Oreochromis niloticus: one gene and its partners. The protein of the gene in region 2 binds, or shares a complex with, the protein of the main gene of each other region. Links are inferred from orthologs where the notes say so. Each region holds a gene or a part of one and is shown on either strand. Other genes may lie near its edges.

Evidence for each region.
Region 1: the proteins of pola1 (region 2) and pola2 are in contact, whole or in part, in a cryo-EM structure (PDB 8G99), measured with the Xenopus laevis proteins. The link is inferred for Oreochromis niloticus from reciprocal best matches to the Homo sapiens genes POLA1 and POLA2. Residues at the interface, in NP_001082055.1 of Xenopus laevis: Gln548, Lys551, His553, Gln554, Asn555, Phe642, Glu645, Val646, Gln649, Asn652, Leu673, Gly675, Arg676, Phe679, Lys1137, Asp1141, Pro1143, Asp1144, Ile1321, Gln1322, His1324, Asn1325, Lys1326, Leu1328, Leu1329, Arg1332, Ile1335, Lys1336, Tyr1338, Tyr1339; in XP_018112289.1 of Xenopus laevis: Met280, Tyr281, Lys282, Phe283, Met284, Phe285, Gln286, Lys287, Leu288, Met289, Ile291, Arg292, Val295, Ser296, Ile299, Glu314, Thr316, Leu320, Pro321, Gln323, Glu324, Thr325, Val326, Gln331, Gly333, Cys334, Asp335, Ser336, Asn337, Gly338.
Region 3: the proteins of pola1 (region 2) and prim1 are in contact, whole or in part, in a cryo-EM structure (PDB 7OPL), measured with the Homo sapiens proteins. The link is inferred for Oreochromis niloticus from reciprocal best matches to the Homo sapiens genes POLA1 and PRIM1. Residues at the interface, in NP_058633.2 of Homo sapiens: Tyr439, Ala440, Pro447, Glu448, Lys449, Ser450, Phe876, Thr877, Thr878, Gln880, Leu906; in NP_000937.1 of Homo sapiens: Asn92, Thr93, Val94, Lys95, Leu96, Gly97, Ala98.
Region 4: the proteins of pola1 (region 2) and prim2 are in contact, whole or in part, in a cryo-EM structure (PDB 8G9F), measured with the Xenopus laevis proteins. The link is inferred for Oreochromis niloticus from reciprocal best matches to the Homo sapiens genes POLA1 and PRIM2. Residues at the interface, in NP_001082055.1 of Xenopus laevis: Leu842, Lys853, Ile894, Pro895, Glu896, Leu971, His974, Arg977, Glu978, Leu981, His982, Glu985, Gln988, Lys989, Asn991, Glu993, Asn1007, Asn1009, Arg1101, Asp1102, Glu1106, Gln1109, Glu1221, Asp1224, Gly1225, Asp1227, Ala1229, Leu1230, Met1233, Trp1234; in XP_018121015.1 of Xenopus laevis: Pro34, Pro35, Thr36, Glu37, Asn38, Ile39, Ser40, Leu41, Ile42, Phe44, Glu45, Ile49, Ile107, Phe110, Ile111, Leu114, Cys117, Gln118, Ser119, Glu120, Asp121, Arg123, Ala240, Arg241, Leu243, Val245, Val246, Gln247, Arg251, Leu252.

What each region holds. Positions count from the first base shown.
Region 1 is NC_031966.2:21,173,910-21,181,721, forward strand, and holds the start of pola2 (DNA polymerase alpha subunit B), read right to left. Parts: upstream 3,008-7,812; 5' UTR 2,742-3,007; coding exon 2,657-2,741; intron 2,182-2,656; coding exon 2,057-2,181; intron 1,950-2,056; coding exon 1,861-1,949; intron 1,735-1,860; coding exon 1,677-1,734; intron 1,445-1,676; coding exon 1,335-1,444; intron 1,159-1,334; coding exon 959-1,158; intron 843-958; coding exon 754-842; intron 514-753; coding exon 361-513; intron 10-360; coding exon 1-9. Other genes in the region: top6bl (type 2 DNA topoisomerase 6 subunit B-like), read right to left, coding at 4,912-4,959, 5,074-5,187, 5,264-5,374, 5,668-5,789, 5,890-6,048. UniProt on the Homo sapiens protein: Accessory subunit of the DNA polymerase alpha complex (also known as the alpha DNA polymerase-primase complex) which plays an essential role in the initiation of DNA synthesis.
Region 2 is NC_031974.2:21,298,653-21,305,615, forward strand, and holds the start of pola1 (DNA polymerase alpha catalytic subunit), read left to right. Parts: upstream 1-3,942; 5' UTR 3,943-4,061; coding exon 4,062-4,110; intron 4,111-4,574; coding exon 4,575-4,702; intron 4,703-4,957; coding exon 4,958-5,054; intron 5,055-5,150; coding exon 5,151-5,228; intron 5,229-5,309; coding exon 5,310-5,425; intron 5,426-5,634; coding exon 5,635-5,697; intron 5,698-5,961; coding exon 5,962-6,063; intron 6,064-6,167; coding exon 6,168-6,339; intron 6,340-6,426; coding exon 6,427-6,595; intron 6,596-6,963. Other genes in the region: pcyt1ba (choline-phosphate cytidylyltransferase B), read right to left, coding at 2,742-2,822. UniProt on the Homo sapiens protein: Catalytic subunit of the DNA polymerase alpha complex (also known as the alpha DNA polymerase-primase complex) which plays an essential role in the initiation of DNA synthesis.
Region 3 is NC_031984.2:12,818,706-12,825,821, reverse strand, and holds the start of prim1 (DNA primase small subunit), read right to left. Parts: upstream 3,008-7,116; 5' UTR 2,826-3,007; coding exon 2,717-2,825; intron 1,898-2,716; coding exon 1,740-1,897; intron 1,658-1,739; coding exon 1,551-1,657; intron 1,460-1,550; coding exon 1,386-1,459; intron 1,291-1,385; coding exon 1,154-1,290; intron 1-1,153. UniProt on the Homo sapiens protein: Catalytic subunit of the DNA primase complex and component of the DNA polymerase alpha complex (also known as the alpha DNA polymerase-primase complex - primosome/replisome) which play an essential role in the initiation of DNA synthesis.
Region 4 is NC_031978.2:20,005,066-20,013,043, forward strand, and holds the start of prim2 (DNA primase large subunit), read left to right. Parts: upstream 1-4,950; 5' UTR 4,951-5,076; intron 5,077-5,890; 5' UTR 5,891-5,895; coding exon 5,896-6,040; intron 6,041-6,164; coding exon 6,165-6,277; intron 6,278-6,934; coding exon 6,935-7,029; intron 7,030-7,130; coding exon 7,131-7,251; intron 7,252-7,978. Other genes in the region: rab23 (ras-related protein Rab-23), read right to left, coding at 449-603. UniProt on the Homo sapiens protein: Regulatory subunit of the DNA primase complex and component of the DNA polymerase alpha complex (also known as the alpha DNA polymerase-primase complex) which play an essential role in the initiation of DNA synthesis.

The DNA of each region.
Region 1 (7,812 bases), on a different chromosome or scaffold from region 2:
CACCACCACCTAAAAAAACAGAATAGAAGCATTTAGATAAATGTTTTCTTACATGTGGGTTTGTTGGAAAGAGCTGCAAAAACATAAAGCTACATGCTTCTGCTGATAAAAGGTTTCCTATAATTCTGAAAGTTTATTTTTATGAGAGGAAAAACTGTCAGAGCTCTCGGTCAGACACTGGGTCAGTCTCAAGCCCATGTCCTTGGCATGCTCTGTTACTCTTGGTGGCCATATAACCTGCTGCACATAAGCTCAGTGCACAGGCAAAGGAGAAACCACCGACTGGTCATTAGGAAGGACCTCATCAGCGTACCCATTTCTAGTTTCATCTGTCAAAGTAAGATATTTTCTTCAGCTCACCTGACCAGGAAAAAGAGAATACTCTTTAAGCTCCGATAGGTCAACAGGTACTTGCTGACCGCCTTGTTCTGGTCCGGCCTCTAGCAGAACCGACTGTGCATTCAGTTTGCCGTTACTGTCACAGCAAATCTGTCCTAGCACAGTTATACTGTCCTGCAGGGAAGAAGACGCAAACCCAAGAAAGAAGTTAACTTTTAATCAAACAAATACATTTAACAGACTTAAGCAGGTTTGATTTTACTCTTCAATATATATGATTTTAAGAGGAAAAAGAATTCAGTGATGTAACGTAACATTTTATCGCAACCTACTATTATTTAATAATTTATTGTTTAAGCAGTGGGGATGAATCTTTAATTTAAAAGTTTTCTGAAGGTGTCATCTCTTCTGTACCTGGGCAGGCAGAGAGACGGGGGAGAACTCCTCAATGCTGAAGTGAGTCCTGAGTCCTTCTCCTAGCTCCTCAATCTTCTCTGTCAACACTGGGAAAGACCCAGGAAAAAAAAAATATTATCCAAAGGTTCTGGAGTATATTCATTTAGTGATTTTACACTCAAACATACAGGAAATCTTTAATCAAGTGTGTGCAACTATGTACCGTTTCGAACATCTCGCAGCCTCTGGAACATGTATTTGTAGCTGCTGTTAAGGGAATCTTCCGGTCCTTCCAATATCTCAACTTGGACGCCTGCACCTGGGTCTTTCCTGCCCACCCAACGGGTGCCCTGCACAGCCCCAAATGTGACCACCACCTCCCCCTTTCCTCCCCGCTGGCTGTACTTCTGTGAGGGTGTCGCACTTCCAAAGAGAGAAGGGGAGGTCACTTAAAGTGACAGTGATGCAAATACAAAAGTTTATCTTTAAAAAAGTTACTAGTGACAAAAATAAAGCTTTCTTTTTTAACTTTAACACAACCAGAGAGCATAATTTTCATGTTTTCAAAAAAAATCAGAGCAGCATGGGGTGGAGAGTACTTGGGAGAGAAGCTGGCTGGAGACAGCAGTATGCTCGGGCTGGCCATCGGAGCTGCAGTTCTCTTTGAACGAGGATGCTCTGGTGTCGTCAGAGGTCGTTTCTGAGAGCCCTGTACCGACAGGAACAAACACAGTCAGGATCTTGTCTGTCTACATAGACTCAAACTTACTCTGCGGGAGACCCACGAGTCACATCTAGCTTATCTTAGCTTTTAAAGGAATATCAACAAAAAAACCCAAAACATAAATGGATACACTTTTTTTTTAAAGTTATGAAAATGTATTTCTTTTGTTCAGATTAGATAATGCTCTGCTGCTGACAAGCAAGAAGTGTTTGGTTACCTTAGCAGGAGTAGAGTAAGAATCTAAGAGATCCTCCTCCTCTTCCTCAGCTTTTATTCTGATTCATTTTGTCAAAGTCTATGACTCAACAGCAACATTAGCAGACACAAATCAAAGAAAACACATGACTCCACACAGTGCAGATGGACGGGTCTTTACGCTGAAGCATCAGTGTGAAGGATACAAATCATCCATCCTGCTAATGTCTCTCATTCTACTGGATGCTTCTTCCTTCCGGGAGGTTTTTCTGGATTTGCTCTTCTTGTTCAAAACCTGCAAGATGACAAACATGCTGCATTTATAAGGAGTAGAGAATGACTACATTGTTGCATATTTAATAAGTAATTTGTAATGCATGTTAAAATCTGTGGTCCTGTTACCTCATGTTCAAACTGCTCCAGAGTGTCCATGGTGAGCTTCACCCCTTGTTTTGTGGCGCTATAGGCAACCCACTCATGCAGTATCTCGGATGTCTGCAGTCTGTTACAAATACACTGCTCCACCACTGAATGGAGGATATATGAGGGAAAACAACCAAGGATTTAATCTGAGTGTCTGAGAAAATACTAGAAGCAAGTACAGTGTGAATTAATTTTGTGGGACACAACTTGCAGTGAATAATTACTGTTCTTGATCTTTAAAAATGGCTTAGTAAATATAAAAGACGTATCAATGAAATCAAAACAAAAAAAAGCTGATTTCTAATTTACTTGACTTGTGAAAGTAAGTTATCAAGAAGAAAAATGCTATTTTAGTTAAAAGCTTTAACTAACAAAAGCGCATTGACATCGGTATATAAATATTATGACTGATGACAACAGCTTAAACTACATGTCACAACACTACATTACTGCTATCCTGCGTATGGTAGAGTCCTCGATGATTACAGTGATAATACACTTAGCTTCTTTGCTAGCACACTCTCCTGTGTAAAGCCTCAATCCATATGAGAAAAACGGTCATCTTAGTTAGCAACTTACTTTTGTCGAGGACGGAATCATCCTGATAGGGTATATCGAATATTTCCAGCTCAGCCTTTAAGCTCTCTGTAGTTACTAGCGACATGGTTTTATGATATACAGTTATTACGTTGTGGAAAACGTGAAAAGCTCCAATGTTGTGATGATAGCTGCTAACGTTAGCTTTACTCTTACTTCGCGACAATGCCGCTGACCCTAGTTTTTTTTTTTTTTAACTACACGGCTTCTAAATACTACCTACAGGCGGTTAGCTGTTAGACAGTACAAACGAAATAATAATGGTCGACCTGATGCCTGTTTCATTTTACCGCGAAAAAGCGCTGTTCGTGTTGGCGGCCGGAATATGCGTCACATTCGTAACAATAATAAACGGAAGTTGGCGGTCCCACAAAAATAAAAGCCTGTCCTGGTAACTTGGTTGTTTCAAACTTTAGCAGTGTCCCACTTCAGAAGCAGAAAAACGCAAATGCCCCACAGTTCATCCAATCAACAATTAAAAACAAAGGACGCACGAATTCTATCTGAATAATGGTCAGACAAATGGCAACTAACTCTTATCTATTTATACTTATTTAATCATCTGGTTATCTGCTCCATAGTTTGGGAATCACTGGATAACATATGTGTACAGTTTAACTATTGGATAGCACTGGTCTGGGTACCACAATTCTCAGATCTTTTTATAGGTGTGCAGTGTGTGTTACTGATACTGCTCTGCTGCTGGCAGGAAGTCTCTGGAGTGGACAATTGTGTCCTTGCAGAAGATCAGCAGCAGCAGCCTGTCATTGATTAAAGATATCTACATCAGCAGGGCTACCAGTATCAAAAAGGACTCTTTAAACCCATGGACTTTTTACCCCCTCACCTCACAAAGTGCAGCATCAGTGCCAAAACAACAAGGCTGGGAAACGGCTTCTTCCCAGACCTGTCACACTCACAATCACTGCTACACACTAACATTTTTTGTCCATGCACACATTAGGAACTTGTTACGATACACAATAACAGGTTACGCAAAACAGACTCATTCTTGCAATAACTCCTATTGTCTGTTTTTATATCTATCAAAACTCGTTTGCACTCTAGAAACAACTGCACTGTAAACAACTGCATAAATCAGATAAGAATGCGAAAAATTGCATCCTTACCGATTTATATCCTTAACTTAATTATATGATCGTTAACGTCTTGTTTTTCTAAATTTAGATAATATTCCAAATTGTATTACCTGTTTAGTTGTTCATATGACTCTTCTTCTGCATAAAATGATCCCTATGAGTGCCACCTACTCCAATCAGAAATGATATAAGATAATGATAATATAGTGACCAAATTCTTTAAAGAATACAACAGTAAAATGCAAAACTATTAGAAATAAGACAGGAAATTAATTCAGCAGATAATTGTTAATCTTGCATTTAGCACACAAAGTGGTAAAATAAACATTTGAACTCCAGTTAATTATTTTAATGCTGTTGTTTATTTCTAATAGGATGGATGCATGTTAGAGCTCTGAAACTTTACATTTTACAAATTTTAAATATTCAAACTTACTGGAACATAGCCAAAAGATGTGAAAATCACTTTTGTTTGCCACCAGATCAAAGTGAAATTGATTATATTGATTGCACAGTTCTTGGTGATGAATGCCAATGTTTCACGGATGAGTATCTGAACTGGGGCTTTTTCAGGGTCCAATCTTGTCAGTTTAGGGAGATATCTCAACAACAGATACTCATTAAAGATCCGGTGGGCATTCTTCTGGCTATCTGTGACAAATACAAAGGTATCACTGCCTCTGATTTTAGGGCTTTTTTTCCAGGTTACCATGGTGATGTAGGTAAAAAGAGAGGCACTTTTATCACACTGAAAACTCTGACTTTAAACTTGTAATAGCCCACTAAACCTTCCTGTTAAACCCCTGTGTTTCACTCAAATAATGTATATTTGGTACTCCAGCACTACGTGATGTCACCTCACATCCTAAATAGATATATGCTACAGACGTTTTTCTATGGGTATAACATTGATAAGAAAAACTGAGATCAATTTGAGCCTTGGAATATTATTACAAAAATAAACTGGTGCAACCAAGCTATAACAACAACTGTGCTTTTAAAATTATGGATTAAACAGATGTTGCTTTTGGCAGCACAACTGGTGCACTTTAAATTTTTTAAACACATTCAAACCCTCTTCTGCCGCCTCCGCAGCATTTAACCATAACAGAACTCTTAAGATAAACACAGAGATTCTCAGATTTCTGCTGTGGTGGGCTCATCGTGTACAGGATGTACTTCCATCTGTTAAAACAATGACATTGCATCAGATTGTGGTTCAGTGTAAGAGGTACAGTGGTAATGAGGAGCTGCTATAGGAATTGGGTGGTGCTGGCGGAAAGCAAGCGTCTCACTCACCTTAGTAGAAAAGCACTTGGCCCTGGGAACGAATTTCCATGATGTCACTCTCCACAGTGATTCACGGAGGGAGGCTGCCAACTCATGTGTATCATGTACCTGACAAACACAAACCTAACAAGTTGTCAACGCCTCTGAATACAGTATTCAGTTTCTGCATCACACCATGAGACAGGCAGTTTTTCCACACCTTCATGCGGTTCAGACAGGCATTTCTGAAGTCCATGCTACTGCTGCTGCTCACGATGCTCATGGACGAACTGAGAATCACCTCAGCAGCTGCGTGCAGCTTTTCTTGTTGCTTAAGGACACACACAAACATACACAATTACTTTTTTCTGGTGCCGATAAGTGTTAGAAATGAATATAAAACAACCATCACAATCTACCTGAGTATAGGGTTGTGCTTAATTGCATAACCAATTCAATCCATAGTGAGTGAAAAGAGAGAAAAGATGTCAATGATCAAAATTGTTGCTGATTCATTTTCTGTTAATGGACTGTAATAGTTATCATTAGAGGACTAAAAACTCTAAGTAAAAGAAGTAGGATACTTAGTGTGCTTGTGCATGTGCGTGTATGTGTTTGTCATGCCTTTTTTCTGTGATTTTGCGATTTCAGTGTGTTCTTCAGCTCAGTCTGCACGGCTGCTACGACGGCCTGCCTGTTGTTGTTCAGAATGTCCTCCAGGTGGAGCTCTATCAACACCTCGGTGGCTGAATGATCAACAATTTGCATGTTTGCATTGGAAAACTGAAAGAAAGGCTGCCTACAGTGTAGGGTTTTGTGACTGTACATGCTGCTGCGGTTCCTCACCCATAAGATCAGTGAGCTGGGAGGTGAAGGGGTCACTATGCTGTAAGAAGAAGAAAAGCAGGAGACTCTGCTGCACTGTGGGAAGACTTGATTCCTGCTCTGGATCATCCCAGCTGTCTTTCTCTACTGTGTACACAGTACCGCCGCTATACACAAGATCTGCAGGGGATGTTGAAACATTTATGCCAAAGTAAAGAAAATAATAAGATGGATACAGTGGGAGTTACTTGAGATAAGAATTTTAAGAAGAAAACAGAGTGTTTGCATGAAGCCACACATGGGTTACAACCAGCATGACATGTATCTAACATGCTGGCAATTAAAGACACACCTCTGGGTTGGGCAGATAATTGTAAGGGCATTTATTTATTTATTGCAGCCTTTTATGTCAGCATTAAAAAATAACATGTCAAACGTGTCTCTTTTCATGCCAAATCAAACTTCTTAAATAAAATAAATGATGATGGAAGATGGTCAGAGACAGCGTGAAGCAGGATGGATTACGGGGTGTTTTCAGGTTTCACTGTGTGAATGTGAATGGGCAGGGTATTGCTGATTAATACAGACTGTCGGTTTTGTTTGTAGTTATGATTTATTGTATACAAAGGGGGAAACACTTATTGTGAAAGAGCAGTTTCTGATAAAAGGGCCGTATTTTGACTGTTATCACTACATGAGTGCGTTTAATCAAACTGCTCCAGTCTGCTCTGTGTGCAAAACAGTGACCGTTAAGTCTTTTTAAAATGTAGCTTCCAGACTGATGTGTTTCTTTTTGATAGCTCTCTTTAGGGTAAGGCTTTAAATACCTGCTGCTACTACTTAAAATAAAATCTAAATGACTAAATGGTTAATAAAGACTTAAATTAGGCTCATTTTACTAGACTGCTGTCTGGACGCAAGAAGATAGTTTGGTCTTTTTTAGAGAAGAGCGTCCTGCTTGTTAGGTACTCATTGACAGGAGAAACCATATAATATTTACAAGACTACTACTCTGTAATTCAAATGATCTTATAAACTATTCAAATATGCCATATACAACTAATTTGCAAAATACATGTTGGAAAACTATAATGCTGCTGCCTCTATGTCCATCAGTTTGGTCCAAATTTAAACCCGAAAAACTTGACGGATTGCTCTAAAAGGTTTTGGTAACTCTGATGGGACAGACTTTTTTGTGCATGGCACTGGCAGTCTTGTGGATGTGTCTTCTCAACTGCTGAATATTTTGCAACAAAACAGGTCCTGTTCTCAAGATGATAGATTTGTAGGAACTCTGGTTGTCCTGTCTTTTTATCTAGCACTGTCATCAAGTCAAACATTCAGTCTGCACGTTGCGCACAGTTCACATTCCACATGCTTTCTACACTGTCACTGTGACAATATCAATGAAACGAAAATGAAACACTGCTCATCCCAAAAGCTATTAGCATGAAAAATTATGTAAATACTTCTGAAAAAAAAAGGAAAAAACCTTTTAAGTATATTACTGTAATAAAGCACAGTTATTCATGGGAAACAGACAGTTAGGTCAAACCCTTTCTCCACAACTGAAATCGCTGCTATGAGAATATTTTGTGGTGCGACTGGAGCACTAAATCTTGTATTGGAAATAAATTTCAAGTGCAAATTAGTTGCAGATGAACCCCATTCTCATGAGGCAGGTTTTTAGAGTGCAGGGAAAACCACTGTGTTGTGACAGAAAGTAAATTCTGTAGTCCATTTTCTTTTAGTGCTTAATGCTTTTGTTTATGTTTTCTGTTCTGCGTCCATTGTTCCGTTTGGTTTTGCCTCTCCCATTCAAATGTCGGCCTTATGAGGTCCATAAAAGTCTTAATTAGCAGCCTCAGGCTTGGGCTCATTCTCTCATAAACCCACGCAGGTGGTTGAAATGAGTTTTCTTCAACAAAGGTAACAAATCCAAGT
Region 2 (6,963 bases):
GGTATCAAGGACAAACAGTAGGGACCGTGGCAGTTAGATCCTGGCTGATCCTTTCTCAGTGTTGGAGATAAGTAGGTAATTTTGCTTGTACTTGTCTAACTTTGGAAATGCACATGGCTGGATCATAAATGAATATTTGTTTTTCCAAAAAGGAGTTCAAATTGCACATGTATAAGCTGCACAGTATAGCCTGCCTATCTGTGTAACAGCTGTTTTTTGCGGTCATTTCTTTTGTCCTGTCTTCCTCCCCTCACCACCAACCGGCCCCTCCCTGAGCGTGGTTCTGCCAGCGGTTTCTTCCTGTTAAATATGAGTTTTTCCTTCCCACTGTCGCCAAGTGCTTGTTCATAGAGGGTCATCTGATTGTTGGGGCTTTCTCTGTATTATTGTAGGGTCTTTACATTACATTATAAAGCATCTTGAGGCGACTGTTGTTGTGATTTGGTGCTATACAAATAAAACTGAGCTGAATTGAATTTCTATATTCAAAGTATACCTCAAAGTACTTTTTCCATCCTTTATCATCCCTTCACTCATACGTACCTTTCCATCTCTATCCTTGAGCTCCCTAACCTGCTGCACATCCTTTCCAGCTCGATCTCTCTGCTTTCCTTCCTTAGTGTCCAGCCTCACATAGAACTCACTACAAGCCTTTTCCTTTGCCTCTTCTATTTTCTACACATAGTCCTGCCTACTTTCTCTATCAATCTGACAATCTAACTTTTCCTTAGCTAACCTCCTCTTTTAAATGCTGTCCTGTACTTCCTAATTCTGCTGCACTTACAGACAACATTACAGCCAGAAGGTGTTGGTTAACAGTGTTTATTAGAGCTTAAAAGTGAATAAATGCATAACACACACTTCAACAGAAAAGAACAACAAAGTGCTGGAGGAGTTCCCTCATCACCCGTGATTCACCTATGGCCCAGGAAGAACAGAGCTCCACCATCTGAACACAGCAGATGGTAAAGACTGAAAACCAAGTGACCAGAGGTACAGGCACCTGACCTATCAGAGCAGGCGCTCAGTAATGCCGACTCTGGCACAAGCAAAGAACATCTGGCATAAGAAGGATTAAGGCTGGGGTGAAAGAGAGAGCCACGGGGACACGGGACATGAGACTAACAATGAGATTGGCTCTCAAGAAGAAAAAATGGCTCGATGGAGTGGAGACAGAGGTGAGGAAAGGGCAAAATGGAGAGTTTTTAGGAGCATTAAAGCAATAAATCACACCAGAGTATCCCAACATAGGAAGCTCTGTATCCTTGCTGCGGCAATTTCCCCCTCAGCAGGAGGTTCATGCTATGTTGGCTACCGTACGGACCCCTTCCCTCCTTTGGCAACACACTCAGAAACACCCACACACACTGTCCACTCAGCACTCTAAGCAGATCCCACAGCCACATGCTACAGGGGATCTGTTTCATAACAGGACCCTTTGTCTCCCTCTCTCTGTCACACACACTCTGTGCGCAATGGAAGACGAGAAAACACACACACACATAGGCGCGGATGCCCTACCGTTCGGGGATGAGGGCAGGTGTGTTCAAGCTCCTCCATTATTCCCAAAGACTCATGGGATGCAGCTGTGGTCCCTCTGATATGTGACTCAGCATCAGTGGAACGATGCCTCTCCTCACCACTCTGTCTCCTTCCTCAGTTCCCCCGCCCACTCTCCGCTCTGCCTCTCTGTCTGTCCTCTCCTCATCATCTGATCCTCTCTGCTGCAGAGACGCAGACTCATGGCAGAGGCCTCACTCTGACTATTTTTTGGAATAAAAAATTCTGCCCGTTTTAATAGTAATTTAAAAAGCGTCAAGCGCCGTCTGTTAAATCACAGTTATATTCCCTTTAGTCTTGCGTCATATTAAAGCGTTAACATAAAAGACTTCTCCGAATTAAAAGGGTTTAACCATATTTGCTCAGGGGTGCCCCTTTAGGGTATACGGGGAAACACCAGAGCACTCTTCTTTTGACTGCTTGACTCTATGGTGAAATCCTCACATGGGAAAACATATTTGGCAAATAATCTGATTTTGATTTTCTACGATCTGTCTGTTTATTACTGTGTACTAACAAAGGAGCACAGATTCAACCCAAAACAGTGAGGAGATAAATTAAGAGATCACACTGACATCTTTTCACGAGCCGTGAGTGAATCTGTGTCTGCGTAAACGATCTCTGCGCGCTGAGGAGCTTTCTCCATGGCGACGGAAAAGAGGAGAGAGAGCTCCATGAGGTAGCCAATGAGAGAGGACCGCCAGTATACCCGGTGAGGATTGGTGGAGCAGGCCATAGCACCATCAGTGAAAAATGGCACTGAGTGGCACCGCTATCCGCCAAACGCTGATTTAAATAGAAGTATGTGGGTTTTCACGTGTCTAGTGTATGTGCTTATCTTTGTGTGAGATTTGTAAACAAACATGATTGTGGAAAAGAAGAAGCTAAAAAACTGTCCTGACTAGTTTAGTATCCCTCATTGTATAACTTAAGGTAAACCAAGCTCCTATAGAGTACAGCAGTGCATTTGACTGTAACAGGATCGTCGTATTTTAATATTTGGCGCATTTTCTTTAGGATTAGATTCCGACTACTCATAAAAGTTTACCCTCCAAGCTAACGGGCAACTTACCCCCGCGAGTCCTCAACAAAAAGAAGAAAAAAAAGTCAACAAATGGAATACGCATATAAACTGCGAATAAAGAAACAACTATTTTAATGTCTGTTTAGGGATGTCTTACCTTTAGAGATCCTCTTCTGCGACAAAAAGGCGCGACAGGTGCGCAAGAGGAATGCGCTCTGACGCGTCGTTGTTTCACCATGGTGGAACAAACAAAATATCACAATGAGGCTCACTTTTTCTCTGCTTTGCTCTTTATAAAGTGAGCGAGCTGCGCAGCGGCAGAAGTGCAGCAGAGCAACAACAAGCTGTTTGTCTACTCTGACCAAAGGACGCATCAGCTGTTCAGCGCTGATGAGCAGCGACAACTGTGGGCCATAGTCGATATAGCAGAGCTTACAGTAGACTTCCTCAGTTTTGTGCCTCAGCAAACGGCCTAATTCATGCAATCTGCAACTTCTTACCCTAATGAGAACAAGTTTAAAAAGCCTAATGTTGTAAAGACAAAAATAAGATGAATACTACAAAGAGCCTTTCTATAACCTGCAATATACTGTGCAGTCCACCGGAACTTGGCGAAGTAATCAGTCATTTAATGTATAGAAAGCCAAAATAAGCCGTGTGAATGGAGGACAAAACACGCTTTGTGTTTTCATTATTGGACGCACTGTGTCTCTGTGGCCCCAATCTGGGACAGGAATCTATTGTCCTCTCCATGGACCGGTTTGGTTGCTGTGGAAACCAGCTTCACTGGGGTAGCCAGGCTTTGAAAAACAGAGCAAAATAATGGCCCCAGTACTAAAAATCCCCGGATTTATAGAATGGTTTAAAAGATTTTTGTTGTTTTGTAAATATATATTGTTCTTGTTTTGTTTCTTTTAGCCAAATTGCGATGCGATTTTATTAACTCAAAAGAAATAAAAAGTCACTATAAACTCGTTTGAACCTCATACAATATTTATGCTAATATCACATAAATTGACTTTTTGAGACCAACTGACAAAATTTTGCTCAGAAACTTTCTCTGATTTATATTCTTATGATTGCATTTTAAACTTCTTTAAGTTACATAAACTTGGTTTCAGTGTAAATTCTGAAAACGGTCGAAATTGTGGATATATTTTAAGCGCATGTTCTGTATGCCACATCGCGCCAGACCTCAGTAATCACACACACATTTGCCTGCCAGATAAATATAATCCGGTGCACAGAGAAGAAGATACAGTGCAGCCCATAGGGAGAAATAATACTGCTATATTGTACAACACTGCCACCTTGTGGACAGAGGTGATATAGCGTGCCAGTTTATTGGTTGGGCGCTCTGTCGTCACTTCCGACATATGACTTTCCCCGGGAAGCCGATTTGGCGCGAGCTGTTCTGTTGTTGTGTTGACCTGCCATAACCGTACGAATAAATAAGACAAAACCACCACTTCTCGCCATGGCTCCAGTGTCAAACCCTGACAAAGACATGGACGCTCCGGACGGCGGTGAGTTTTGGGCCTCGCGCCTCTGTTTTTGCTGACTTTTGGCGACATTGCGGTGGGAAAGCAAAGAAGCTAGCTGACACGCTAGCTAGTTCAGATTATGTTAATACACCTGCTATCAGGCTTCGGTCATTAACACCCAAAGTGCCCACCGTTGTCTGCTTGCCAGCGTTTTACACTGTTAAATGAGTATTATTAAGGTTCAAGCAGGAGGACATGAAGGTAAATATAGGTAGCTAGCAGAAGAGCGCTGATGTGGAGGTCTGTTAACTCGCCACTAAAACCTTCTGTGGCGCTTCGAGAACGAGAAAAATCTATATAACGACCACCAGTAAGTCTTCAGACGTTTAAATTGAATGGTAAAAGAAACACAAGGGTCAGGTCGATCTGGTATATGCGTATTATATGTTTGAAGAAACGAGTCAAACGTCCTTCCTTATACTGCGTTGTCTTGAACCTCTCCTCAGACGATGGAAGTGAAGCCTGTGGTTTGGCGAAGACTCGCTCCAGACGGGAGAAACGGGAGAAGGTGGGGAGGAAGTCCGCACTGGAACAGCTCAAGAAGGCTAAGATGGGAGAGAAGATCAAATATGAGGTATGAAAGGCAGCCTTATCACTGGTTTCTGCTTCAAGGTGTGTGAAGAATATGTTAATTTGCATCAAACACCTGTTTTAACTCCTTCACTGTGACTTAATAAACAAAGCTGGTTAAGTATCTTCATACTTCCTTTTACAGCATCTGTTTTTCACTCATTAAAATGATTCATGCTGTTCTCTATCCTAGGATGCTGTATGCAGGTGTCATATCACAGTAGTACACCTGTGTTTTAACCAGTGTTGTGTTTTTCAGGTGAAGGAGTTCAGCAGTGTGTATGAGGAGGTGGATGAGGATGAGTACTCAAAGATGGTACGAGAGAGGCAAGAGGATGACTGGATTATTGATGACGGTTAGTGTCAGTCAGCCTGCTGTAGGAATATTTATACTGTGCCAACGTCACAATTGTTTTATTACCTCTTCTTTTTTCTTTCTTTTTTTTTGCCAGATGGAACAGGATACGTGGAGGATGGACGAGAAATTTTTGACGATGATTTGGATGATGATGTAGTAGAAGACAAAAGGGGTAAACACAAGGAGTTGATTACATTTTCTGGAGTAAGTTGTCCAGATCAGGTGCATGAATAGGTTTTGTTTGTTTTATCAGGAAAAGGAGGCGCCAAAGGAGGTGACTCAAAGAAGAATGTGAAGAAATCTGTCGTAGCCAAACCCAACAGCATTAAGAGCCTATTCATGAACAGCAACGTCAAGAGGCCTGCTGAGGTATGTGTTTGTTAGCATCTTTGATTTGCTTCTGTGAAAAATGCCCCATGCAGGTCTACATGTAAGGATTTCTGTGCCTGCATGGTGCTTTGGATATTCCAGTCAGTGTAAAGCTCAAAAACATCCAGCTTTTTTTTGTTTGTTTGTTTGTTTGTTTGTTTTTGTCCTTATGCATTTATCAGATGTTTTTGTACTCTTGTCTCTTACAGAAAGATGTTGATCTGTCCAAAGATGACCTGTTAGGGGATATCTTGCAGGACCTGCACTCTGAGGTTGGTAATTCTTCATTTAAAAATGTGACAGTAGTCTGTAGCAAGGCGTTTTCATCTATTAACCACACTTGAGATTACACATGCTGTTCTAAAACCTGCAGTCTTTTATTAGGTTTCTCTTCACGCCATTTTGACTTTTTTCCTGTTTGGGCATGATGACATATTCCCTTCTGCTTTTTCTTTTTCTTTTAAAGGCCGTAATTTCTTTCTATTGGTATCTTAGCCTTTGTTAATGTGGCTTTAAAATATGCTCCGTCTTTCCAGAAACCAGCTCTTCTGACTCCTCCACCTGTGGTGACTCTAAAGAAAAAGAAATCTGTGGGATCACCCATGAATCCCTTCTCTATCAAACCTCAGTTGCCAAAGGTAACTCAGCCCACCCTCCTAATCAAAGGATATTGATTATCTCTTTAGACAAATTTATAAAGTGGCTTACCTGAAATTATAATGAATCATCATCCCTTTGATAGCAGGACTCGCCCTCAGCAGCTGGGTTAAAGGCAAAAGTGATTCGAACGCCACCATCACAGTCTGCCCCCAGGTCATCAGTCCGCCCTCCCTCCTCCACATCTGCTTCTCCTATGGCAAAGCAGAAGGTAAAAGTGGAAAAACTGAATGAAGAAGACAAGAACGAAGAAGAAGGTAATGAAGATGGTTTCTAATCTTTTGCCCTTTTTTTGCTTTGTGAAAAGTTTATGCACTAACTTTACATTTTAACGTGTTCCTCAGTGAATGATGCCATGGCATTTGATGAGATGGACTTTGATGAACCGATGGAGGTTGGCCTCGAGGAGGAGGCACCTGTAGTGAAAGACGACGCGGAGTCTAAACCTGAAGTAGCAGCAGTGACTGCAGTCAAAGTTGAGGCCAAAGCTGAACCTCAGGACCCAGTCCTCATGTGAGTTTTTTATGCCTTTAGTCCAACCTCATCTTATTTCCCATAGTTGTAGTTCTATGGGTCGTGCTAAAATTGCTGTGTCTTCCAGTCTGGAGGAAACGAAGCAAGGACAAGGAAAATATAAAATGCATATAGCAAAGTTAACACGATGTTTACATAAGTCAGTTTAAATGCCCTTTAAACAGGTGTTTAGTCCTGTGCCATCTGTTCCTCCCGTGGTTTACCTGCACATGCCGGTGTTTCTAAAGGAATTCGAAAAGCTAAATGCGATGGCTGATTATTGCATGGGCTATTATGAAAATGACTGCAATTCAGTTCACTTCAATGGTTCACAAATCTGTCTGGGTCAAACGGCAGGGCTCCATACA
Region 3 (7,116 bases), on a different chromosome or scaffold from region 2:
CCTCTTATTACCATTATTTCCTTAAGCCTTAAGTTGGCTAGTTAAGTATCGGACTAACGTTTAAAGCTTTTACTTGAGTGAAGTAACTCACATTACTGCTACTGCTAAGTAATGTTAGCCAAATTCACAGCATATTCTATAAATCACCATGCGATGCCATAACTAACTGCTATAATAGCGCTGCCGTACTACATCACACTCAGTGCATTTCAATCATTTCTCCAGCAAGTTTGATAGCTAGCAAAATAATAATAGTTTTAAAAATGTGCACGTACACATTGTACACATATGTACACATTCTCAAAAATTAATTACTAGGACTCACCTATCATGTGACTCGAGAGCGCAAACTCTGCCATTGTCATTTCCATCAAACACTTAAAACGGCAATTTCCAGGCATGTTAGTGCACTCATCCCCAACTGTCCGGGGGAGGGGCGGGGTCACACATTGAAACAGACTGACATGCAGAGGTGCTTGGCAGCCCAGGTGGAGAAATTTTGCTTTTAGACTTTGCGACTCATTTTCTTTCTCTATCTGATAAGAAAACTATTCGGTCAGATAGTTATTTGTGGTGAATGAAATACAGTTTCAAGCACTTTTAAGCACCACATCTGAAATTCAAGCACTTTTCAAACCTTGAAAAGACAATATTAAAATTCAAGCATTTTCGAGGATTTCAAGTACCCATACAAACCCTGGTATTAGTTTGTTTTATCTTTTTTAAGTTTTAATAAATGCTCTTTTAATTTTGTTTTAAGAGTCTTAATATTTGTACTCCATGTCTATCTATCGCATGCTGTTCTAGCTGTTGTGTGGTCTGTTCTATGAATCCACATGAAGCACATTGTAATGTACGTGCGACACTTTGTTCTAATTATAATAATAATAGTTCAACATCTTATTATAGTAGTCTGGCAGGACAAGTAGCGTTTGGTGGTTTATGTGCAATGCATCAATAGACTGACTTTTCTCTAACTGCGTTATACATTCAAATTATGTTTTAGCAATCCCAACCTGTTAACTGTGGTTATATCCAATAACATCTGTTAATTAAAGTTTATAAAAAAAAGAAACAAAAAACTTTAATTGATTAAGTTAGGAAGTAGAAAGTACTTACAAAGGACTTCTATTAAAAGTTGAAGTACTCGTACCTTGACCAGGCTGAGGTATTCTGTCACAGCAGAGCGCGCTGCTACAGAGAGTTTCCGGGCAGCTTCATCACACACCCAACAATGTACTCCTCTTCTGCCAGAATAAACCCACAGACGGTGCTGGAAACCAAAGTCATCTGGAAGTAACACAAAAACCAACACATGCTTGATGAGAATTTCAACAAAAATCCACACAAGCTGTCACCTGGCACTGAATCTGTGATGACCAAACCTCGAAGAGCTCTATCCAGGATATGGATGGCGATGGTCATTAAGGTCCAGCACTTGGAGCAGATGTCAGCAGCACTAAAATGACAGTTTTAAAGTGTTATGTGGGCGATGAAACGGTCAGGATATTCCGCGATTGCGACAGGAAATAAATACATAATTAACCTACCTGCAGCAGCTTCGGACGTCATCATAATCTGTCATATCAATATCAAACACAAGCTCTTTCTCCAGAGCCTGGAAGGTCCCCGACTTCACAGTGTTGTGTTGACTTGGCTGTGGGCAACAAAGAGTGACAAACATACTCCATACATATGTCTGCCGTGATGCACAAACTCTGTAAGGTGTGGAAAATTACCCTGTGGCTGTACACTGCTCCCACGTCGATCTTGTAGGGGTTCATCTTCTGCATTTCCTTCTCCAGCTCATTCTGCGTGCTGAACGACTGGTAGCGTACATAGATGTCATCTTTCAGGGTAAACGAGAACTCGCGATTTTGAAAGTAGTTTTTCTGCACTGAGATTGTACAAGAAAAACAAAGAAACAAAAAAATTCAACAAGACACACACATTAGTCCTGTATTTGGGCATTTTTAACTCTCTGTCTAACTCTTAATAGTTATACATGTCAGCATCACAGAGCAGTGGATCCTGTCTTTACTGTCAACGGCACTTTTACAGTTTCATTTATAAGCATATGTTACAGTACTGCAACCATCCATTCTGAAATGAGGAATGAAAGTCAGTAGACGTAATACAAAATAAATGTCTGTGAATGAGAGGGAGACAGGTGTAACAGTGAAGCTGCAAGGAGTGGTAGTAAAGGTGGATATATTTATACATCTGCAGTTACAATAATGGCTGGTGCACAACAGAGGTCAAGAAGAGAGTGCTCACATTTATCTGCAGATGAACTGAGTGTCTAATGCAATGTTTATGCTGGATAAATGATAACGTGCTGAAGAACAGCAAAACAATTCAAACAAATCAAACATTTGTTTCATTACTGGCTACTGACCTATTTTAAACACTATTCTAAACACTGGTAACTGACCAGAATTTCAGCATCCCTGTTAAACAACAGCATTACTACAGTGTTCGTAGGATGCATTAATACAAAATCATTTTAATCTTTACTGATGAAAGTAGAGGGATTAACATGAAGCTAGAATGGCTGTATAGGATGACTTACTAATTTGGAAGAAAGTCAAATCCAGAATAATTCTACCATTTTAGTGCCTAACAAAACACGTTAGCTTCCTATATAACACAACACAGATCAACACCCCCAGTTATTTAGCTTATTTATGCTAGGTTTCCATGCCTGTGTACTCACCTCCTCCGTAGCTCAGCCAGCGGTAATACTGGGAGAATGGGAAGAGCCGCCGGTAGTACAGCGGTAATAGGTCCGGCAGAGAAGCTGGATCATAGTCTGATGATGGCATTATTTGATAGCTAAAATTAGCTGTGGATGTAAAGATACGGTAAAATATTGCTAAGCCGCTAGCTACACCGTGACAGCTCACTGTGTTGTTTTACGCCGAGGGTAGCGCGGGAAAACTCTCAAGCAACAGACCAAACCAATGACACAAGTTTAGGTCAGTGACATCACCACAACCAGGAAGTTGCAAGGCAGCCGTTTCTCTTTTAGGCTATAAAAAAATCAACGAAGGCAAAATCATCCAGGGTAATGAGATTTTTTTAAACTATTACTGCATCGAAACGTTACTATAACATTGACAATGGCTTTCTTTTTTTCCCTTCTGGTTTTAGTTAACCTTGTAATATTAGTCCTAGAAGCTTAAAAAAGGCGGACGTGACGCCAGTGAAGAGAGGCTCATGGGACATGTAGTCGTTTGGCAGCAACAACTATAAAGTACAATATGACAAAATAAAGACGCTGTGGTAAACATTATAAATTAATTATTTAAAAAATAAAGTAGCTCAATAAGTAAACCTGAAAACAAAACACAAAGAGCACAGAATATAATACAATACAGTGGTTTTTGGTAAAGTAGCTCCATAAATTACTCAGAACGGTAGCAATATTGAAATGTATTGACTTTTGTATAGTATTTTTGTCTCTCTTATTTTCTTTACTTAGTTACTTGTTAATTTATTTCAAACATGTATATTGTTTACATGTTTGAAATAAATTAACAATGAATGAATGAATAAATTACTATATTATTATAAATCCATCCAACCATTGCTCTCACTTCATCCCTCCTCCATTTTTTGCTTTTTGCTTGTGTCCTTGATACTACCAGTAGCATGAGATGGTATCTGCAGCCCATTCAGGTCACACATGTGACACGCTCTTCCAGGTTAGAACATGCAGACAGGCTGAAAGGTTTGCTGTGTGGCATGGCATCAGGCCCTTGCATCCTTCAGTGGATGTTGGGAGACCCAGCTTTGATACAAATGTTCCATGATGGTTTATGCTTCTTAAACGGACAGAGTGATATCCCTGAAGTTTCTTTGGTTTATACAGTGATGATCAAGTGTTTATTTGAGTGTTTTTAGAGTAACGTAAATATAAATGAACTACAAGGGTCTGGGGGCCTGAGCAAAGGAAACAAAAAGACCGGAGTCTGAGATGCCACATGATGGGCCATAGGACAAAACAACATTTCTCCGTAAACTAATTAGAAACTGAAAGCAAACAAACAAAAATGGGGGGGAAACTGGCTAATGTATCCTCCATCAAGGAAGAATAAGAAAAGACAAAGAAGGGTAATAGAGAGATGCCTCATCAAAGGTTTCTTTATCTTCAAGCCTTCTTTAAATTTACTTCATCCTCAGGTATTCAATAAAAAATGTTGATTGAAAGAGTGAAGTGGATTGGAAAAGAGAAGAAATATAATACTATCAATTCAATTTTTCCTAAGCTGGAAAAATTGAATTGTACACCCCTAGAGGGCAGTACAGTCTCATAACAATAATTTGAAATTTCCCACATTAATCCACATTTCAGGAAATTTGTTTTCTTTTAGTAGTTTTCATCATCCTGGCAGATCAGTTGTACTAAAACACTCAGTTATTCTGTTTCTTGCATCTTTGGTATGAGCAGTAAACACTCAGGAAAGAGGAGAGGACACTTCCACAGTTTTCAGTGAAGCATGGACGAAATGGTGCCAAATACGAGATCCAAATGAGCTAAACAAGGACAAACAGCAGCTTATTTCAGCTCTTTTTTGGGTTGATTGATTGATTCATGCCATTTTTACTCTTCAGTCACATCCACCCTTTGCTTTGACATTTGAAAAGGCCACATGCGCTTTCAAGACAAAAAGTGTCAGGCATGGAGCCTCTTTCTGTCCTGCCCATCAGTCTGGGTTGCTGCACTATTAGTGTTACAGCTTTCACTGTGGTGCATCAAACACCTCCTGACTGAAGTGGTGCTGCTCACAGTGAAGGTTGAGAGGTGTGCAGCCACAAGAGCCCTTGTCAGCTGTTGTACTTCTAATGTGAAACAACACTCTCTATTTGCAGTGTTGTACTTTAAATATGTCTGGCTCTGTAATATTATTCATTCCGTCTCATCCCCAGACTTGAATCTCTATTCATCTCTGACACTCTGTTTTTATTTCAGACCAAACAACAAACCTTCAAAATCATCCTTCCCCACTGAAGACATAACAGTAACTTGTAGCTTCTAATATACAGGCAATATTTCAAGGGAAAACATCTTCATATGCACTAAATTTAATCTTCCTCTCCACTTTCACACACACATGTAAATGCTGAGCGAGCCAACTACAGTAACATGTGTAATACCTACACTCTAGATTGATGGTAATGAACCAGCTTCAGTGAACTGTGCCACACTCAAGAGCAACTGATAGACAAGTAATGCCAATACATTTCCTTTTATGATTGCACTTTATGCTAATATACCACTCATACCCTGATTTGCATAATGCAAGAGCTCTCAACCTCATCTTACTTGAATTATGCAAATTTTATTCACTGCAAGGCATATTGGATGCGATGCATTTTTCCCCCTTTTGAATCAATTTCTAGAAATCACTTGAATCAGATTTGGGATTAATGCCTTCTGTTGCTTTGATCCGCAATTCTACTGTATATTAGAGTATATAATTAATGCATATTTACATTCAGGAGTTTCTAATATCAATCATTTCTGTGAGTTGTTGTTGCTATTTAAGCTCTCCAGTGGCTCATCATGCATGTAGATACGTACTGTAACACATAGCTACCAGTCACAGCCGCACGCTCAATGCTAAATGTCAGTGGGGCAAGTTAGATAAGGTAAAACATGGGGAGAAGATACAATTTTCAGCTGATGAATGTAGGTCAGACTGCTTTCAGGTGTCCACGGAGCCCACTGGCCAGCACCATAAGTCATTGTGTTTGTTGTACATGAGGAGTCATAGTTCATGGTTGAAAAGTCACTGTGTCTTTAGATCGCCAAAGTGTGCCAATGTTGCCTTTCATCAGGAAAACCTGGTGAAATAGGCTAATAGAAACCCTAAAACCAGTCTGGAGTGACACAAAAATGTATGTCCAAAGATACAGTAACCTTACCAAAGGAGGTATGAGAGCTAATTGTTTTCATTTTTGGATTCCACTGCTTGCTTGTCTTGCTTCTAATCCTGGTCTACTTGTGTCTGCATACATATGTTTATGTATTTTTACATATACCGGTGTTAACATGAGAATGGCTTCTACCGACTCAATTAAGGCAGGAAGCTTGAGACGCGTCCCCCCCCCCAAAAAAGGTAAAATTACACCAAACACAATAAAACCAACTAAAATGACTGGTAACAGGTGAAACATTGTATCACCTGACGCCTTTTATAGACTGCTAAGCCAAACATGATATGATGATTTAAGCATAAAAAGACAAGACATATTGGAATGGTCATTGATCAATGGTCATGACAACTGGCAAATTAATGACCACGAAACTGACCTCATGGCCCATTGTCAGTCAGTGGTGCTAGTGTCAGTCATTATGCAAATGTACTATTTACGAAGTTCAGGAAACCTGCAGTCAGCTAAGACAGAAGAAGTCACTTGGATGAGTGACGAAACATTTCTCCCACTGAAAACACTTCATCCAGAATCTTTTTTGGGGGGGATTTCCTTACCTGGATGATTGGACATAGAGTCATATTGGAAATTTAATAATTTATTAATTTAGCAAACAGAGGACTCAGTAGGATGTGAAAGAACCATTCACACCTACAATAGCCTGGCGCATCTCCTTCCACATGCTGGTCAACAGCTTGGCTACACACTGCTGTGGGATGGCATCTCATTCTTCAACCAGCATTTGTTGCAAGTCAGCCAATGTGAGAGTGTTGGTCAGAGAATAAGATGCTGGTCTCTGTTGTTTAAATGAATCAATTGTTAAATTGCCAATGTCTTGTTTCTTCAGACATTAATCAACCAATCCAATAAATGACACCAAAATTCAATTCAATTCAATTCAATACATCTAGTGTTAAATCCCAACAGCAGTTACCTCAAGACGCTTTTTATCGTAAGGTAAAGACCCTAATAATACAGAGAAACTCCAACAATCAGACGTCTCCCTGTGAGCAAGCACTTGGTGACAATGAGAAGGAAAAACCTTTGGCAGAACCAGGTTAAGTGAGTTAAAGCAAAATAAGATGTCTTGCCTTGACAGAGAAGATTTTTCATGGGCACAGCCCACATACTCAAGTCAAGATTGTTACAACAAAAAAAAACAATCACCCAAAAACC
Region 4 (7,978 bases), on a different chromosome or scaffold from region 2:
TCAGAGGAAACCAGAGTACCGAGAGAGAACCAACACAGTCACAGAAAAGCCCGAGCCAGCATGTGGATTCAAACCCAGGACCATCTCACTGAGAGGCCACAATGCTAACCACTGCACCACTGTGCTGTGGTTAATAAAATATTAAATAATAATAATTAATGTTAATTAAATAAAAGCTGAATATAATATGTGGCCTTTTTAAGTAAAATGTCTCAAATTTAGTCAAATTCATTTTTTTTAAAAAAAAGAGTAATTTCTGATTAAACCTAAAATGTGGGTACCAACAGGATTCCACATTGATCAGTATGCACTTACTGAAATATGTATTTAATATTGTAAAACAATTTTATACAGCTGAAGTTGTAGTTAGTTAACAGACCCTCTGCGACTTTGATTATAGACTATAACTGATAAATAAAGTAGAACATCTTTCAAATGATTATCTTACAGTATCTGCCTTTCCAGGAAGTCCACTCCAATTGTTTTTTTGTAGTCTTTAGTGAAAATGCCCTTGCAGTAACGTTGGATCATACTGGACTTGCCGACAGCTCCATTGCCGACCACGACCACTTTGATGGCCACTTCCATGTCCTCCTCCAACATGGTGGTGACGTCTGGCTGATTTTCTCAGTTCCACTGTGCCTGTGTTGTTTCAGAGCTGTGACGGGAGCACATGTACCAGCTGAAAGTGTAAAATAAAATATTAGATACTACAAAAAAAAAAAAGAAAAAGCCACACAAACACTGGACAAGTGCAACTCAAATGTGGTTTATATATGAATCACTCACTTCAGAGACAGTTATCAGTTGAACAAATATGATGAAAACCAACTTTGTTACTGAGTTTATAAGTTACTTATAAATGCTGTTAAAGTGCAACTGACGATCAAGCAAATTAGCAGAGGCGCAACTAACTGCTACTTATTTTTAATACTAATCAAACTTATTTTCAGTTTGATATGTCAATATACTGTTACAAATGTAGTTGTCCAAGCCTAAAAAAATGTTTTACAATACATTTTTATAGCCAACAGTCACAACTCAACTTTTATAGGCATAATAATATAATTATCATATTCGCCAGCACCACAAGCACTTCATTGCACTCTAATACACGGTGTCACATACACAACGTCTGTAATTAGCTTTTAAACTGTTATGGGTGCACATTTTACTAACTGTTGTAAAACAAATTTTCAGCTTGACTGGAGAGGTGGTTCACTATGTTTATTGTTCCATTAGTGCAGAAAACTGCAGACTCCGCATAGCAACCGGGTCCCCACAGCTATATATGTGGAGTGGCTGAGTGCTACGCTAAACAACATATTGTGGGAAAGCTGTTCTCAGTGGACACTGACAGCCTACTGCGTGACTGTAGTGTTCAACAGCCTGCCTGAATTTGAGTCACAATATGTATCTGTAATTGAGCCGAATGACACATCAGTTGGTATAACATGAAGGCAAAACACAGCTGAAAATAGAATAGTATGCTCTTCTTTTAATGTAAACTTTTGGATTATTTTAAAGTCTTGACTTTGCATTTCACTTTAGTTGAGTAAAGACCTCGTCTTCCTTTCAAGCAGCTAGTCCTCTCATATTCAAGTGTAGTCGGTTCTGGAGTTGTAGTTTAAATGTGTTTTATCATCACAGAAACTGTCAAACTGGGAGGTTCAGAAGCTGATTATGCATTGTTTATTTATTACTACTATAGGTTTAGAACAACATGATTCAGATTTAGATAAATGATGATGATTTGCTTTAACAGTATTTGAAAATGAGATCTGAATATGAGATCTTCATGCGAGCGTTTCCGCAGGTCCTTCCTCCCTGCAGCTGTCAGACTGTACAATCAAAACTGCTCCCAACAAACATAGAGGTTTACATCAGCGCTGTAACTTGCACTATTTTATCAACCGATTCACACTATAACCTCTTATCTGTATTTAATTTTATTTAATTTAATAACGGTACAGTACTCTGTTTTTGGTAAAAATTGTCCTTGATGTAAATATGTAAAAATTGTGTATGTTTCTGTTCTGTGTCTTGTGCACTGTTTGTTTGTATGTGTGTCTTTCTTGATGCTGTTACACCCAAATTTCCCCTTGTGGGACAATTAAAGGATTATTCTATTCTATTCTAATAATTGTGCTCTTAGTATCAATAACAGTGTGGGGCAATCTTTTAGCACTGTGGTCATGTCTTATCCCCCACATTTCTGAAATGAATCACAACTCTCCTTGGGTGATCTCAATAGGTCATGTTAGGGCAAGGCCTCACAGAGATTTCATTCTTAGCCCCCACTGATGGTAATGTGAGTGACCCAAGTTGGGGGTTTTTTACGTCTTGGCTCATGTGGTGACTCACATTATCAATACTGGGTAAGGATCACTGCCAAAGGGTACCCCCCCAGGGTAAATACTTGTGACTTTCCACCATTTGTTTTTTTAAGGGAAAAAGACTCTTGAAAGAAGTCCAGCTGCTTTCTTTTTTCAAGCTCTAAAGAAGTGACTGGAAGGTGCAGTCGAACACTTCAAGACAGGTATCAGCTACACATATTTAAACACAATATTCTCCATACCTGCACAAACAACTGTCCTGAGTAAATTCTGGGTTTTCAGATCAGTATTACCCCCCCCACACAAATGTGATAACACCGAATCTGAAATATACAGGCCTACTGCATTTTTTATATAACATGGTAGGAGAGTATGCTTTGCATTGCTATGCACATAGTACTGAATTCTGCTCAGTATGAAGCAGATAATACACCCCCCTTGCTAGACAGTGAGTCATCTTCATAGACTTACCGTTACTTGCCCAGGCCTCAAGGCGGGGCACCACAATTTTTTAAAGCACAGACTGAATAACACAGATCAAAACGCCATGACACCCAACTAAGCTATTCAACTCTGTCGAAGACTTTTGCTATATGTAATACGTTCATAGTCTCTGATGGGAATTAAGTTAGAAGTTAACTTCTCACTCCTCTTCTTCACTCAAATCCCTTGCCTTGGTCAAGATAAGACCTGTTGAATTGCTGAAAGGAGGCTCCCCTTGAAGTACAGAGCAGCTCCTGAGGTAGTGCGTTAAAGCTGGGTGAAATAAACGGTGAAGAAATGATGGGAAAGCATGCCAAAGAAGCGTGCAGTTTCTTACCTGTAAAACGACGCTACAACTCATCCAATGACATTAGGCGAGTTATGCAGTCAGCTAACCCACATCCACATATCTACAGCCTCCCGCCGCTCTTCTCCGTGGCAAGAGGAGACGCAAGAGACTCCGGTGCTAAGGCTGCCTAGCTAAGATTAGCCACTTTTCACAGAAGAAAGACAACCTTCTGCTCCGTTCGCTAACGTCTTCTTCCCTGTCTAGCGCAAAAACGTTCTCTCCTAAACGAAAGATGCCGTTTATTGACTGTCAACACCTGAGGTCACTCTCATGACATTTATAGGATGGATATCCATTGCTGCCTATTTCAGTGAGCTACGTTGCGCGTGAGAGCTAGCCAGGCAGTTGGCTAGCTCGCTAGTGTTTGTTGCTAAGCAGCAGAGCCAAAGAATGCACAAAGCAAGAGAGTCGGCGTGAACGCGCCTCTGTCCTCGGGAGTCTTGGGAACACTTGTAGTTCTCATATGTTAGCCCTAAAAGTCACGACTGTTTAAAAGTTGAATTATTGTCATTATCGCACATGTTTTTACCCCGCTTTGATATTATTTTATTCACAGCTATTATATATGTCTTATAAGCGTGCTTTATGTGGCCATATCACAACAACCAGGAAAAAAGCGTGTGAAAATTACTCACAACCGGATTAAAAAGTGCATTTTACTTTCAGGTATGTGAAGTAAAATGCATGTTATAAAGCAGAAACACGGAAATGTGTTAAAAGGGAGTACATTTAATTTCCACTACAGTTGCTCCCTTTCTGAATATGTGTCATTAATGTGAAACTTTCAAATAGTTAGTTAAATAACTTTAAATAACTGCAGCTTCATTTTTTTAAAAGGCAGAAAACACCTAACCGTCTGCTGAGAAAATTGTAGTAATGGTTGATGTCAGTTAAAAACGTAACGACGTTTTGGTTTTGTATAGGTTCATTTTACTGTATGCATATGAAACTTACCAAAAATGACCAGAAGTTGGGTTAGAATTTTTTTGTTTGTTTATTGAGTTAGCCACAAAATAAACTAAAATGTCTCTATAATATAACATGACCATTTACCAATTTCTCTAAATACAAAACTTTTGTACGTCAAACCACAATATTTTGGATTACATACACTGGAAAAATAAATGCGAAATGTCTGATCTATTTCGACCACAGAAATCACAGTTATAAATGACATGGAATTTAAACCTTTCCAGAAAGTGCTTTACAGAATATATTCTGTTTATTTTAAAACTAACATTCTTGTGTCAAACATGCGGTGTTTCATTCATTCCTGCATATACACCCGTATATCCATATGCAGTGTCTGTGTGAAGAGAAGTTTATATGCTAAGGACGTGCCAGTAATCCTTATTTGTGGATATTTGCTGATCTGATAGGTAAACTGTCTGTGGAGTAGTGATATTTCAGAAGAAAATCAGTCCAACCAACCTTATCAAATGGGCATTTGGAAAATGAAATGGGTTTCTGAATGATTTATTTTTAATATCTGGGTTTAATTTTAAAACTGTTATTAATCGTTTGAAAAACAAAGATTTTCTGTATTTGAAGATAAGAAGAACCCGCGTTTTATTGGGGCGTTTGTTATGTAATACACATGGGCCCGTGAGTTTGTGTTGGATTTGGTTCAAACGCCAAAAAAACAGAAATGGAAACATAGTGTGAAATGACAAATTTGGGTAATATCCTTTTAAAAGAAACTTTTTGCTTGAGTTTTCATGGAGGTCATCGTTATTTTGAGAGACGGGACGGGCTGTGCTGAAAAGTAAAACGAGTACACACCACTTCACAACTTTCGTTCTCTTCCGGTGTCGGATGCAACGTCATATTTTTAACCCGCGTTTGTTGAACAGCCCACTTTGTTTGGCGGGACTGCGTTATTAGGACTCTAAAACCGTCATCTAATCGGTAATGTAACGACAGTATTATATCCTGAACCGTGAAATAAGTTTCTCGGGCTGTGTTCGAGCTCGGTCTTTTCAACGCAGTTTAAACTCAAATTTGATACCTAGCAAACGTCAAATTTGGAGTTTTTCTCCCTACCATTAACTTCTTGCTATGGGCTCTATTGTTAACATAAGCTAAATAGTCTCAGTTAGCGGCTACATTTAGCCTCGAACGTAAAAATTGAGTTTATGAGAACGACAGTTACTGACTGCTGAGCCAGTGTAACATAACAAACCAACTAGCTTCACCCTGTCAGTTCAGTTTGTCTGTAGAGGCTAATTTCTAGCTGTCAGAAACATTTCGACTCTTTTCTTTAATCCCTAATTGAGCGACTGTGATGAAGATTAGTCAAGGAGAAACTCCGTTTGCCAAGTTTTGCTTTAAGTTATACCGGGTGCCACTTCTGCACAGACTGGTTAATGGTTAATAGCAGATGCCTGCAGCAATTCGTTTGTTCTGATTTTGTATAGCAGCATCCTTTACTGTGTCAAATCAAAGGCCAATGAATTTCTTAATGTTTGTTAGTCATAAGCGTTTAAAAGGTCGCTCGGGTCTTCTCCACAATAGTGTGTTTTATTTATTCAACTCCTAGTAAAGAGAAAATGGCAAAATCACGCGTTATGCATTTTGAAATGAGAACAGCTTATTTAATTGTCATGAATTTGTATTGAAGGTCGCTTTGGTAAATGGCTCACTGCATCAGATATGGCAGGTTTGGGACCCAGCTTGTTACCAAGTGGTACATGAAAACATACATGATTTCTCTTAACATCAGGCACTATGCAGTTTGGAGGCAGAAGAAAGAAGAATAGCATTAACCCTCAGTCGGAGCTCTATGGGCAGCACCTGCAGTTTTATGGACAGCCTCCTCTTGAAAACATCTCTCTCTCTGAATTTGAAACATTTGCTGTGGAACGACTGAAGTGTAAGATTTGTCTCATACTAGTGAAATTCAAATGATGAAAATTACTGTAAGCATTGTTTTCTCTGCTCTTGTGAAATACATTTTATTTAGGACATGTGGTTACTAATGTCTGTTGCCACTGTAGTGTTGAAGACTGTGGAGAATTTGGGAGTGAGCCATGTCAAGCTTACAGACCTGTATATAAGCAAACTTGAGAAAGAGCTTAAAGCTCTGAACTTTCCTTACAGACCAGATGCTGTGAGTATGTTTCCCATTATGCAACTTTAAAGAGTATTAGTGAGTCCGTTATTGCATTATGTTTTCAACAACTTCAGCTAAAGCTTTATCACAAAGAGATTTCTTTTTAAACTTCTACCTGTTACGTGTTTTAATGAAAACACAGGGTTTGGATTTGGTTAGGGTCCTGTAATATCGCACTGCACTTCATGGTGCTTGTGATCCCCTTAAAATGGCAGTGAGACGTATCTAATAAACTGTCATAGCTTTTAGAGTAAGGCCAGTGTATAGCTCAATGTGTATTAACACAGTGTTGACTTTGATGCCCTAGAACTTAAGCTTGCGCAGGATCCATCAAATTCTCTTTGCAATAGTGATGAAATAGCATGATTTAGCAATAAAATGTATTTGTATTAGTAAAGAAGAGACACTGCTGGGTGTTGCAGAAAACGTGACTCATTTACTAACATTTTAAGACCCTATGCTGAATTACAAGAGCCTGAGATAATGGAAGTTAGTGTACAGCTACCGTAAAAATGACTTTTAGTATGTGATCATTTTTTCATATATGTACATAAAATAAAAAACTGTACAACATGACAAGAAGTGGTGAGTGATGATTAGATGATTGACATCTATTTGTCTTTCAAATTACCTAATTGTTTTCTAACCCTTAAGGATGACAAGAAATCTCAAAGTGGACCAACTGAATATGAAAAACGAAGAAAAGACCATATCTCCCACTTCATTCTCAGACTGGCCTACTGCCAAACGTAAGTCTTTAGTCTCCATTTAGGAATACTGAAAGATGTGGTCAGAATAGAAGTTGTTCAGCTGCAAAAGATAAATGTTTATTTCCATTTGTCTCTCAAAGGGAAGATCTGAGGCGCTGGTTTATACAACAGGAAGTTGATCTTTTCCGCTTCCGTTTTAATGACTTGGACCCAAAACAACAACTGGAATTTCTTCACAAGAATAATCTCCGCTATGACACAGTAAGCTTTCCTAAAGAAAACACTTGGCACATTTCAAAAACAGGTTTGTTCTGGAAATTATAGTTGAGGAGGCTTACCACCAAAAAAAATTCCAACTGGAAACTTGAAATTTGTGTCTTCTTGTGATTGTGACTTATTCAGAAACACACAATTTGTCTTTTTTTATATCACCTTCAAGCTTTTTTTTTTTTTTTTTTACTTAGCTACAGTGAGTTTCTCTGGGAAAATTATATTCTTCTCTCCCATCATTTCAGCCTGAGAGTTTTAATTAATTAATTAATTTAAAAAAAAAAAAAAACAGTCATCAGTCCAGTGGAAACACTTTGGAAAGCTGCTTCTCTTCCAGCTGCCTCCTTGGACCTCAAACACTATTACTTATTTTTCTACAGCTTTTCTCCTTATTTCTTGCCTAGAGGTGCAGGCTTCTCTCTAAGAACAATCACTATTTTCTCTGCTTCCCTGAAAGTAAATATGTTTCCTTATATGAAAAAAATTGGGGCGGGGCAGATAGTATGCAAATTGTAAGGCGAGTCTATGGGACTGTTGGTTCCGAACAGCTATGATTTACTATTGTATGCATCGTGGTAAGATCAAAATAAATAATAATAATCCTAAATCTGGTGGTAATTTTGAGTGGGAAGAAATTTGCGGAGTAAGACCTTTTCCACATAGATATTAATAAATGAGGCTGATTGTCCTGTTGCATGACCAGTTTCATCCAAACTGT